3 linked regions of the Oryzias latipes genome follow. The protein of the gene in region 2 purifies or fractionates together with the protein of the main gene of each other region. This does not show direct contact. Links are inferred from orthologs where the notes say so. Each region holds a gene or a part of one and is shown on either strand. Other genes may lie near its edges.

What was found. The genes of interacting proteins can lie anywhere in the genome.
Region 1: the proteins of tubulin alpha-1A chain (region 2) and tcp11l2 purify together in Homo sapiens (affinity purification with mass spectrometry; 3 studies listed by BioGRID and IntAct, counting the BioPlex papers as one, with this or other methods). This does not show direct contact. The link is inferred for Oryzias latipes from reciprocal best matches to the Homo sapiens genes TUBA1A and TCP11L2.
Region 3: the proteins of tubulin alpha-1A chain (region 2) and txndc9 purify together in Homo sapiens (affinity purification with mass spectrometry; 3 studies listed by BioGRID and IntAct, counting the BioPlex papers as one, with this or other methods). This does not show direct contact. The link is inferred for Oryzias latipes from reciprocal best matches to the Homo sapiens genes TUBA1A and TXNDC9.

Annotation. Positions count from the first base shown.
Region 1 is NC_019881.2:17,114,424-17,117,797, forward strand, and holds part of tcp11l2 (T-complex protein 11-like protein 2), read left to right. Parts: intron 1-319; coding exon 320-452; intron 453-2,171; coding exon 2,172-2,292; intron 2,293-2,416; coding exon 2,417-2,640; intron 2,641-2,777; coding exon 2,778-2,914; intron 2,915-3,035; coding exon 3,036-3,217; intron 3,218-3,355; coding exon 3,356-3,374. UniProt on the Homo sapiens protein: Promotes the migration of muscle-derived satellite cells (MDSCs) during differentiation throught interaction with FMNL2 and therefore may participate in microfilament assembly.
Region 2 is NC_019865.2:25,876,993-25,881,046, reverse strand, and holds tubulin alpha-1A chain, read left to right. Parts: upstream 1-1,253; 5' UTR 1,254-1,407; coding exon 1,408-1,410; intron 1,411-2,346; coding exon 2,347-2,569; intron 2,570-2,650; coding exon 2,651-2,799; intron 2,800-2,885; coding exon 2,886-3,866; 3' UTR 3,867-4,015; downstream 4,016-4,054. UniProt on the Homo sapiens protein: Tubulin is the major constituent of microtubules, a cylinder consisting of laterally associated linear protofilaments composed of alpha- and beta-tubulin heterodimers.
Region 3 is NC_019879.2:10,009,615-10,013,062, forward strand, and holds the end of txndc9 (thioredoxin domain-containing protein 9), read left to right. Parts: intron 1-810; coding exon 811-929; intron 930-1,660; coding exon 1,661-1,915; intron 1,916-1,992; coding exon 1,993-2,113; 3' UTR 2,114-2,939; downstream 2,940-3,448. Other genes in the region: mrpl30 (39S ribosomal protein L30, mitochondrial), read right to left, coding at 3,170-3,299, 3,374-3,447. UniProt on the Homo sapiens protein: Significantly diminishes the chaperonin TCP1 complex ATPase activity, thus negatively impacts protein folding, including that of actin or tubulin.

The DNA.
Region 1 (3,374 bases), on a different chromosome or scaffold from region 2:
ACCAAACTGAAAAATGCAATAAGAACACGTTAAAAACACCAAAAACACTATTTTCATCAGATTGTGTCATTAAACCCCCAAACACACTTTCTTGTTTCATTCACTATAACTATAATAGGTTGAATAGTTATTTTCTATCAGAAAAAAAACATTTTTTTGAATTCTGATTCTTGATTATTTGATTTCTCACAAGCACAAAGACATTTTATTGCACAAATTGTTGTGCTTGTTGTTTGCTCGTATTTTGTGTGTCTTTACATCTTTCACAACCAGATGCAATCCAACTCACAGATGTTTCTTTAAACTGTCACTTTCACAGCAAGTCCACCCAAAAGCCTAACTTTGGATGAAGTCATGGATTCGGCAAGGGACATTTTTAACCTCAAAATTTCTCATGAGATTGTGATGAACCCCAGTTTTCACATGGACATGAGCAGCAGACCACAGAACAGGTATTGATGGGAACAGATTGGAAACATTGTGCCTATTTTAGGGGTTTTATGATCTTTGCCAATTTATTTCAGTCGTGGGGAAGGGTTACAGCCACTATGACAAAAATGAAGGAAAAAAGTTAAAGATGATGGTTTGTGTTACGTTTGTCAGCAAAACAAATGATAATATGGAAAAATGTTGGTAAAAGTGAGATACTTTACTCGACTTGAACATGTTACAGCTGGTTAGGTAAACTGGTAGAAGGTTAGTAACATAACTAGATTAGAAAAATAATGTTTTTGAGAGGCTGATTCAAATTTCAAGTGAGATTAATGACCTTAAAAAAAGAAGAAAAAATCCCCAAACGTAAACATGAGATTTTGAGTTGCCCCCTTCTATATTCAACAATGTCATGAAAAGAATGAAGTTTTGTTGTTGGAGGCTGTGGGGTAACGTTAGACCCCTGTAATCTTTAAGCTTTCAGATATTTTATTCTTAGGGAACAAAGAAAAATAGTTATTTTTAAATAAAATATAACTTCTTTATAGGAGGGAATTTCATTAAATCTGTTGGGATTTGTGGAATATCTTGGCACAAAACATAAATACTTGGCACATAAACTTGTTCCTACAAGTTCCTAAGAACTTGATCTCACTGTTATCTTCAAGATAAAATTTCGAAAAGGGGACGAAGAAACTAACAGAATTTAGTGCAATATCAAAGATTTTTGAAGAAAATGCTTTTTTCTTGGATGTAATTTGTTTTTTAATTATTTGTGGATTAACATTTTTTTTTCTAATTTTTCTTTGAAAATCAACAGAACCCTGTTTTTTACTTTTTCTTTTTACAGAAATGTAATACAACAGAATATCAGGCCACCATAAAAATAAATAGATAGATGGGGTCTTTAATAAACCCTGAGGACATTTTAAAATGGCCATCTGCTGACAATCATGAAACACACACACATTAAAAACAATGAAGGTCAATGTTTTAAAGAACAATAAATTTAATCATTTCAAATCAGGGGTAAATAAACAAATTAAGGAAAATAAAGTCATACAATTTTAATATAAATGAAAATAATATTAAATGAGAATAAAGTCATGAATTTACACAGCAAAAGCCTGATTACTAAGAAAAACACAAACAACAGAAAAAAAGGAACGATATTGAGTATGACAGACATAGTGCACATTGTAAGCGGTTACTTCAGCACTGGTTACGCAAATAAGGAAATATTTAGTTTTTTAGTGAATCATCATTGCTATATTATAAGTAAAAGGACATTAAAATTTATACTCCCGTCTGCAGTATAACTGCCGAGATCCAGATGCATTATGGCTCATAGATTTCTATAAATGACTGTATTGAATGATGTAGTCGTCACATATTGTGGATGGAGGCTTACACTACCTTCATAATTTTATGACTTTAGTCTAGTACATTTTGTACTTTTTTTCTTAAACTTTTAGGACTTTATCCTCATATTTAAATTTACCGGTAAATGTTTTTTTTCATGCTGGTCCTAATACTTTAATATTTTGACCTCTCCAAGTTCTTGTTTGATGTGCCTTTTATTGTTTCTCTTTGTTATTTTGACTTTGGTAGCAGACTACTAACCACTGAGGTAATATATCGCATCATGCATGTGGACGCCAGGTCTTAAGAGGTTAAGATATTTTGTTCATTATAAAACGTGTCAGCATCAACTTATGTCTTCATTTTTGAATTTCTAGGTTATTTGAGGTTGTAAGAGATAACATGCACAAGGCTTTCTGGGACATGCTGAAGGAAGAATTGAGTGATGACCCACCTAAATATCAATTTGCCATCAAATTATTAGAGGAGATCAGAGAGGTAAGTACACACCTGATGGCGTTTACTTTGGAAGATATTTCACTGATTTCTTTCATAACATTTTGATTTTCAAAGTTGTTCACTATTTAAACATTTTAGCCTGAAACTGTTTGTTACTGCACAGATTCTACTGTCATTCCTGAATCCGGGTGCAAACCGAATGCGGACCCAGATCATGGAGGTGCTAGACATGGACCTGATTCGTCAGCAGGCTGACAACAACGCTGTAGACATCCAAGGTCTGGCATCCTTCATCATCAACACTATGGGAAAGCTCTGCGCTCCAGTGAGGGAGGAGGAAATCAAGAAGCTGCGGGAGAGCACAGACAACATTGTGATTCTCTTAAAGTAATGCACAGAAAAACTTGTTTTTTTTCTTTTCTTTTCTGCAAAATGTGTCAGAAAAATATCAGAAACCATGACATGTAGCTTTGTATCTCTTTTGTCACTAAACTTTTTTTTTTTGTTTTTTTTTCACACTTTAGAGAGATTTTCCGTGTAATAGATTTGATGAGAGTGGATCACATCAACTTTTCCATTGAACTCATAAGACCTTTTCTGCAGAAGTACAGCGTTGAATACGAAAGGGAAAAATTTCAGAAAATCTTGGAAAAAACACCTAGTAAGTAAAAAAAAAAGAAAGAAATTAATCTGTTTTTTTATGTCACAGTATAGAAAATATCTACATCAGAATGAGATAAAAAAGAACTGCTGCTAAACCATTTTTTATGGAATATCCTCAGCTGCTTTAAACCACACCACTGCCTGGATCCAGGCAGCAAAGGAGGAGCTGTCATCAGCCACTGTTCCCACGGATACCAACCATGGGGTTGGAAAGACCGCTATGCTGAGTCCGTTTCAGCTCCTCAACACTGCCTTTTTACACATACTCAGATGGGACTACTCAAAGAACCCAATACCTGAGGTAATACTTTAAAACGGTGTATAATTTCACTGCATTTATGTCACATTAGAGACATTTTATTTTCTAATGTTTAATCGAATGCTTTGAACGCCCTTTAAGGTTTTTCACATGTCAAGTGAAGTTTTCCTGTTTCGTTAGACTTTGGTGACGGATGAGA
Region 2 (4,054 bases):
TGCAGCTGCATGACGGAAAAAAATGACACGTTTTTTGCAAAAAACTGAAGCTTGTTGAGAGGAAAATGTATAAGAAAGAATGCAATGGGTGTGGCAGCGCTCTTCAAGACTATACTGAACCTGAACAGATTAAACTGTTCGGTATTTTTTTCGATAATCATCATAAACTACAATGCAAAGATGGAAATTTAATGACATGCGTGTGACATGATCTGTTTTAACAAGACTGAAAAGACTCCCAATGCTGCCTCCGAATCCATAGGCGTCTCAGGTCACATCCAAAGGTGTAACATGTCTGATGACTGATGTCACAGATGGGTTTTGTTGTTAGTAACCAAGATAAAGAACCATTTATGTGCTTTGGACTTGAGAATTGGTCAAAACTGATGGAGAGGGCAACCCATCCTCAGGAGGAGCAGGGCGTTACCCCTCCAGCAGATTTTACAATAAAGATCGCCTCAATTCACCGACAGCTACAGCTCTGCCTCTTGATTTTGTGGCTTAGCAAGGTCATGTGACTGCCGGATAAAGGCGTCTGTGTGGATGTCGGCCTGTATCCAAGCAACTCCTCCATTCATTTCCTAGTAACCGTTAAACCTTGGGAGTGGGGGGCTGGGGTGGATTGCTCTGCTGGCATTATGGCCTACATCAATCCTGTGGGACCTGCAACAGCTGAAGCTCCTAAATCTGAGGGAAACGGCCACTGTGACAGTGAAATGCCCAGGCAACATGCAAAAATGTTAGACACATTGAAGAGCCTGCAAATAAAATGAACAATGGAGAGTAGTTTTAGGAGGAAGACGTTTAGAATACAGTGTTAAATGTTGTGGTTTTACACACCAAAACGGGTTAAATAGCGTTTTCACAAACTCACAAGTGAAAGTGTAAAAATCAGATAATTGAACAGTTTATCTTTCAGTTTAGTCAAATTAAATATTTTAAAGAGATCTTCACTTCAACCAGTTTAGTGTTGCAACATCATTAATTCTTATTTTGTATGTGCCCACACCTTAAAAGTTAAAAATGTGAAAAGACATGGACATCAACTTATTAAAAATTGGGTGGACAATTACATGGCATTTTTTTTTGTCTCTGGCACAGACGCCATGATTCCAGGCGGGATGACGCGGGAGGATGTCGGGTGGGGTCCTGGGGGCGGTTCTTAAAAAGAGCTGAGCACTCAGCCAATTGGAAGCCGCAAATCTCTAAAGAACAACCAACGGACATGGAAGTGACCAATAGAATGGCAGAAACCACCGGCACGAGGACTGACATGAATATAAATAGCTGTCATCTCCTTCCGCGACGTTACTTCTTACTTCGACCACATAACAGTCGAACCGTAAGACTCCGCGGCGAGGAATTTCTCCCATCCTCTCTCATCACTTAAAAAAAAAGAAAAACAAAATGGTAAGACTTTTTTTGTCGTTATTGTTTTATAAACACTCAGTAAGATGAACACGTTAATGTCCAGTTTCCACTTGTAGAAAAGTAACGAACTAAGGAGAAAACTGTTACTTAGAGTGAAATTTGAATGTTAATGTAAGTAAACCCAAACTTTACCTAGATGACTAAACTTTTCAATGTACAGCAGATGTTGTCTGCAGAATTTGGGAGGTGTTCTGGCTCGGTTCGGGCCGATATACGTGGCGGGTAGGATGAACAAAAGAGGGTTTCAGGGCTGGACAATCCGCAGAGTCTGCGGCGAATCGCTCCCCTCCTTCTCCGAGTCATCACTTGTCTGTAGTTGACTGTTGGCAGGAATTTAAATAGAAGACGAAATACAAAAATAAAAAATGATGACACAAAAAAAGACTCCTGGAAAGGTTGTTGTACCCAAGGAAACTTTGTCTGCAGGAACACTTCATGAAACGCGCTGTCGGCAGATCATGGCGGCGTTGATTAATTATGGATGATGGAAAACGGACACTGCTGTTTTGTTTGCCCCCAAAGACCCCAGCAGGAGGAGCGCCGCCTTTTGTCCTCGGGTTGTAACCGAGGACAACAGATACTCAATTGTTTTAAGTTAAAATGTGAGAAACGAGAAGTTTGCGTCGGGGCTTGTTGCCTGGCAACGAAGTTTACTCAGGAGGTCATTGCGCCGCGCAGAAGGGCAATCGGTTAACTTCTTAAAATAATAAAGAGAACGAAAACATTAGCAAATAAATCCATAATATTCAATGGGAAAACTTTCTTATATTCTTATGAATACATTTTATATTTGAAAAAAGTTTACTTTCAAAAGTCAAACTATGAGCAAAGTTTGTAAGACTTGTAGTCCAAAGGTTTTAGTAATTTATTTACAGTTTTCTCTCTCTCTCGTTTTTTGGTTTGTTTTCCCCACAGCGTGAGTGCATCTCCATCCACGTTGGTCAGGCCGGAGTCCAGATTGGCAATGCCTGCTGGGAACTCTACTGTCTGGAACATGGGATCCAGCCGGATGGCCAGATGCCCAGTGACAAAACCATTGGAGGAGGAGACGACTCATTCAACACCTTCTTTAGTGAAACTGGAGCTGGAAAGCACGTTCCCAGAGCTGTGTTTGTAGATCTGGAGCCCACGGTTATCGGTGAGCATCTCTTCCAGATGAACATGTTCTGATGAAGGTGCTGGAGTTTGTGAAAACTAAAGGGATTTGTCGTGTTGTCAGATGAGGTGCGCACTGGGACCTACAGGCAGCTGTTCCACCCTGAGCAGCTGATCACCGGGAAGGAAGATGCTGCCAACAACTACGCCCGTGGACACTACACCATCGGTAAAGAAATCATCGACCTGGTTCTGGACAGGATCCGGAAACTGGTGGGTACAATCAGAGCATGTGTTTGTGTTTGTCTCGTAGTGGTGCAATAACAGTATCTGGCATTTGTTTTCTTGTGTGTCTTCAGGCGGATCAGTGCACTGGTCTTCAGGGCTTCCTGGTGTTCCACAGCTTTGGTGGAGGCACTGGCTCTGGTTTCACCTCTCTGCTGATGGAGCGTCTGTCTGTGGACTATGGCAAGAAGTCCAAGCTGGAGTTCTCCATCTACCCAGCTCCTCAGGTGTCCACTGCTGTGGTGGAGCCCTACAACGCCATCTTGACCACCCACACCACCCTGGAGCACTCTGACTGTGCCTTCATGGTGGACAATGAGGCCATCTACGACATCTGCCGCAGGAACCTGGACATTGAGCGTCCCACCTACACCAACCTGAATAGGCTTATTGGCCAGATCGTGTCCTCCATCACTGCCTCTCTGCGCTTTGATGGTGCCCTCAATGTTGATCTGACAGAGTTCCAGACCAACCTGGTGCCATATCCACGTATCCACTTCCCTCTGGCCACCTACGCCCCCGTCATCTCTGCAGAGAAAGCTTACCATGAGCAGCTTTCAGTGGCTGAGATCACCAATGCCTGCTTTGAGCCGGCCAATCAGATGGTAAAGTGTGACCCCCGCCACGGAAAGTACATGGCTTGCTGTCTTCTGTATCGTGGTGACGTGGTGCCCAAAGATGTGAATGCAGCCATCGCCACCATCAAAACAAAACGCTCCATCCAGTTTGTGGACTGGTGTCCCACTGGCTTCAAGGTTGGCATCAACTACCAGCCGCCCACTGTAGTTCCTGGTGGAGACCTGGCCAAGGTCCAGAGGGCGGTGTGCATGCTGAGCAACACCACTGCTATTGCAGAGGCCTGGGCTCGGCTGGACCACAAGTTTGACCTGATGTACGCCAAGCGCGCCTTTGTTCACTGGTATGTGGGTGAGGGTATGGAGGAGGGAGAGTTCTCTGAGGCCAGAGAGGACATGGCGGCTCTGGAGAAGGATTATGAGGAGGTTGGAGTCGACTCCATTGAAGGTGAAGGAGAGGAGGAAGGAGAAGAGTATTAAACAAGGAGGAGGAATCAGTTACAGAGGAAGGAAATGGCTCAAGCATTCCAAAAAGATGTTTGTTGTTCTAAAAAAGGTTAAGATGTTCAATGAAACCTCCTGAAAATGTCAAGACTGGTTTTGATATGAATAAAATCTCTCACACGATTGTTTGTCTTCATATATTTTCACTTAAAAAATTAAGTTTT
Region 3 (3,448 bases), on a different chromosome or scaffold from region 2:
AGCCAATAATCTTGCCCTACTCATGGCTGATTACCTGGTTCAGGTGTGTCCAGCCAATTAGAACATGCCAGAGCAGGGTATGCTGGAAAAGATGCAGGAATGCGGCCCTCAGTGCCCACCTCTGGTCTAGTGGGTCTAGATGACCCCACTCCCAATGTTAAAGTGCCTAGGATAGCACAAGGGTCAAGGTAACCATTTATTGCGATTTTTGCCGTCTTTTGCGGTATGCATATTGCACAGCTTGATGTCGCGATAACGATAAATTTGCGGTATATTGTGCAGGCCTATTACAGTTGAATCTAATAGACTTTTTTTTAAATGATTGATTGTATTAATTGATTCAATTCATAATCATGAACCAAGAAGGAAAGTTGTGCCTACATTTAAGCAGCTGTAACTGGTGCAAGTCTAGAAGAAGCAGACCTTTTAGTTTTTGTGCGTTTTGAAAATGTTTTGTTTTAGTTTAATCTCTCTTTTAGGAAACTCACATTTGTCTTATTTAATAAGAGAAAATGGCCAAACTATGACTGCAAACATCTTGTAGCCAATGCATATGGATTAAATTATCTAATTTCTGAAGTGATCAATTATTAATCTGCTCCTGTGTCATTCTCTGACTGACATCAGCTCAAATTTTAAATGCTGCTCTGCAAAAAACCCAGCAAAATAAAACTATCTAAATCTGGATAATTAGTGTAGATTTGTGATTTTTTTTTTTTTTTTTTTTTTTTCCTGAAATGGGTAATATTCATGTCTGACAGTTAGAAAAATGATAAGATTGTAAATAATTTGATGTTTTTTTCCTTTTAGGAGTGGTTGGCTAAAGGCCACGGTGAGTATAGAGAGATCGCCAGTGAGAAAGACTTCTTCGGCGAGGTGAAGGAGAGCAAGAATGTCGTCTGCCATTTCTACAAGAGTTCAACCTTCAGGTATAATTACAGCTACATAAGAAACACCCACCTGAGGAAAGATTTTAACGCTAACATTAAGTGCATTTTAAAAGAATTTCTAAGTTTTGGGGAAAAAAAGTTTAAACTTTGAAATTTGAGATGATATTAAAGACCCATGCCATCATCTTTTCGTCTTGTTTTAAAGCGTTCCCATTGGTCTTAACTATAATGATGCCGCTTTTATTCAAATGGAGCGGAGCAGGGAGTGTATTTTCTACGTCACAATTAGGCTCTTTTTCAACCATCATTTTGTCGTTTGCTCTCGATTCACAAAGATTTGATTGAGGATAATCTCAGAATATGATGTTTTGAGCTCAATTTTCTTCAAATATGTCATCCATCTTCAAAAAAATGACCCGACATGTTAAAAAGACCAAAATTACAATTTTCATCAGTTTGCCTTTAAATTCTTTGCACAGCAAAGGAATGAGACCGTTTTTATAATACAAGTAAACCAAAATCCAGAATCAGTTAGTCAAATTTCACTAAGGCATAACTTAAAGACTAAACAAATTCTGTTAATCAACTAAATTAGAACTAAATATTTGAAACATTCAATAGTAAATAAAATGACTGTAAAAGGTTACATTGTCATTGGGAAAAATGACAATACTCTAAACTTTTGTGAAAGTTTGTATTGCTTCATTCATATATATATATAAATATATATAACAAATCAAAAAACATTTGTTTCCTCCGTTAATCTGCAGATGCAAGATCCTGGACAAACATTTGGCCATACTGGCAAAGAAGCACGTTGAGACAAAGTTTTTCAAACTGAATGCAGAAAAGGCCCCTTTCCTGACAGAGAGGCTGCGCATCAAAGTCATTCCCACGCTGGCGCTGCTCATTGACGGAAAGTCTAAGGATTATGTGGTTGGATTCACTGACCTGGGAAACACGGACGAGTTTTCAACGGAAATGCTGGAATGGAGACTTGGATGCGCCGATGTTATCAACTACAGGTGAGATGGGCAGAATCTGGAATAAAAAGGGTTGTGGTGCTATAGATAGGACTAACGCTGTCATTTTATTCTTCCAGCGGTAACCTGATGGAGCCTCCAACAGCAGCACAGAAATCAGGCACGAAGTTCTCTAAAGTTGAGAAGAGAAGCATCAGAGGGCGAGCCTGCGAGTCTGATTCAGACTCTGGAGAGGACTGAAAACTCAAAAGCCGCTTTTCTTCTACCTCAGCATTAGGTCGAACGGAAAGCTCTTCCCAAGTTATTTCCTTATTAGCATTTCATTTCCTTTTGAGTGGATATATTTCGTCAGTCTTGTCCTTGAGCCACCATTGTAACACGTGTGCCAATGTTAAATGTGTTCAGGATTTTGCATCAGTATAATTTTTTGTATGAAAAGAATTTGACAAATCTTGACTTTGTTAATGTATTTCAGTAACAAATCCAGGCTTCAGGAGCTTCTGCTCTGCTCTGCTCACCTGATTCAGGTCATCAGCAGCAGATGTGATTAGGAATCAGCACCCCCAATTGTGAGAAATCCGCCTTGAATCATTTTTGATTAAATGACTAAGATGCAGAAAGAACGTCTGCAGTTTTTTTTGTTGATAAAGTTAATCTTTTCCTTAAGTTATTTCCTCTCCAATCACTAAGCAGCAGCATGACTCAGAATATAATAAGCTTTTGTAGTGTTGAGCATATATTTGCTTGATTTTGCAGTTTGATTCTCCACCCCCCTGTAAGTTCTAAATAAACATTCATGTTCCTGTCTCTTTTTAATACCTTATTGAGGAGACACATCCAGCCCACATGTTATAATAGCTTCTATTCAAGTTTATACCTCTGTTAACCTTTGATAAGACATTCAGAGAAATGTCTAAATGTGGACGTCTTAACTTATTGATGTTTCGGATTCAACGTTTTTTTCTGGTCTTTTTCTGGTCTTGGTAAAATATACCAAATCATTTTCCTAACTTTGAAAAATGTATTCATGATGTCACTCATGTCAATTAAATGTTTCAAACATCAACTAGTGCAGACTTGCTGTGGAAAATAAACATTTTTATAATTTAACAGCTTTGTGTAGATAATTGGTACTCAATTTTTAATTTTGTATCCAATTCTAAAATATACAGATATTAAGGATCATGCTGGCATTACATAGAAATTTCTCAAATCATTATTTTCACACTACAGCAAAACCAAAAACTTTATTTTTTAAGCAACTTTTGAACACTGGATCACAAAGCGACGACGAAGCTAAGACTCGCTGATTCGGGCGACCGGTTGGAGAAGGCGCCGCACTATCAGCTCGCCCTTGCTGTTGAGGAAGGCGTCGGCCATGTCCTGCTCAGCGGGCAGCCCATAGGGAGTCTGCAGAGGCTGGATCCTGAAGGAGCACAGACACCAAAATGACTTAACATTGGACAATTTTAACCGCTTGCTTTAGTGCAGGAATCTTACCTCACAAGATGCTTCACAAACTTTAGTTGGCTGTTGACTGCAGGTGTGTTTTTGTGAATTACTGGTACATGTGCC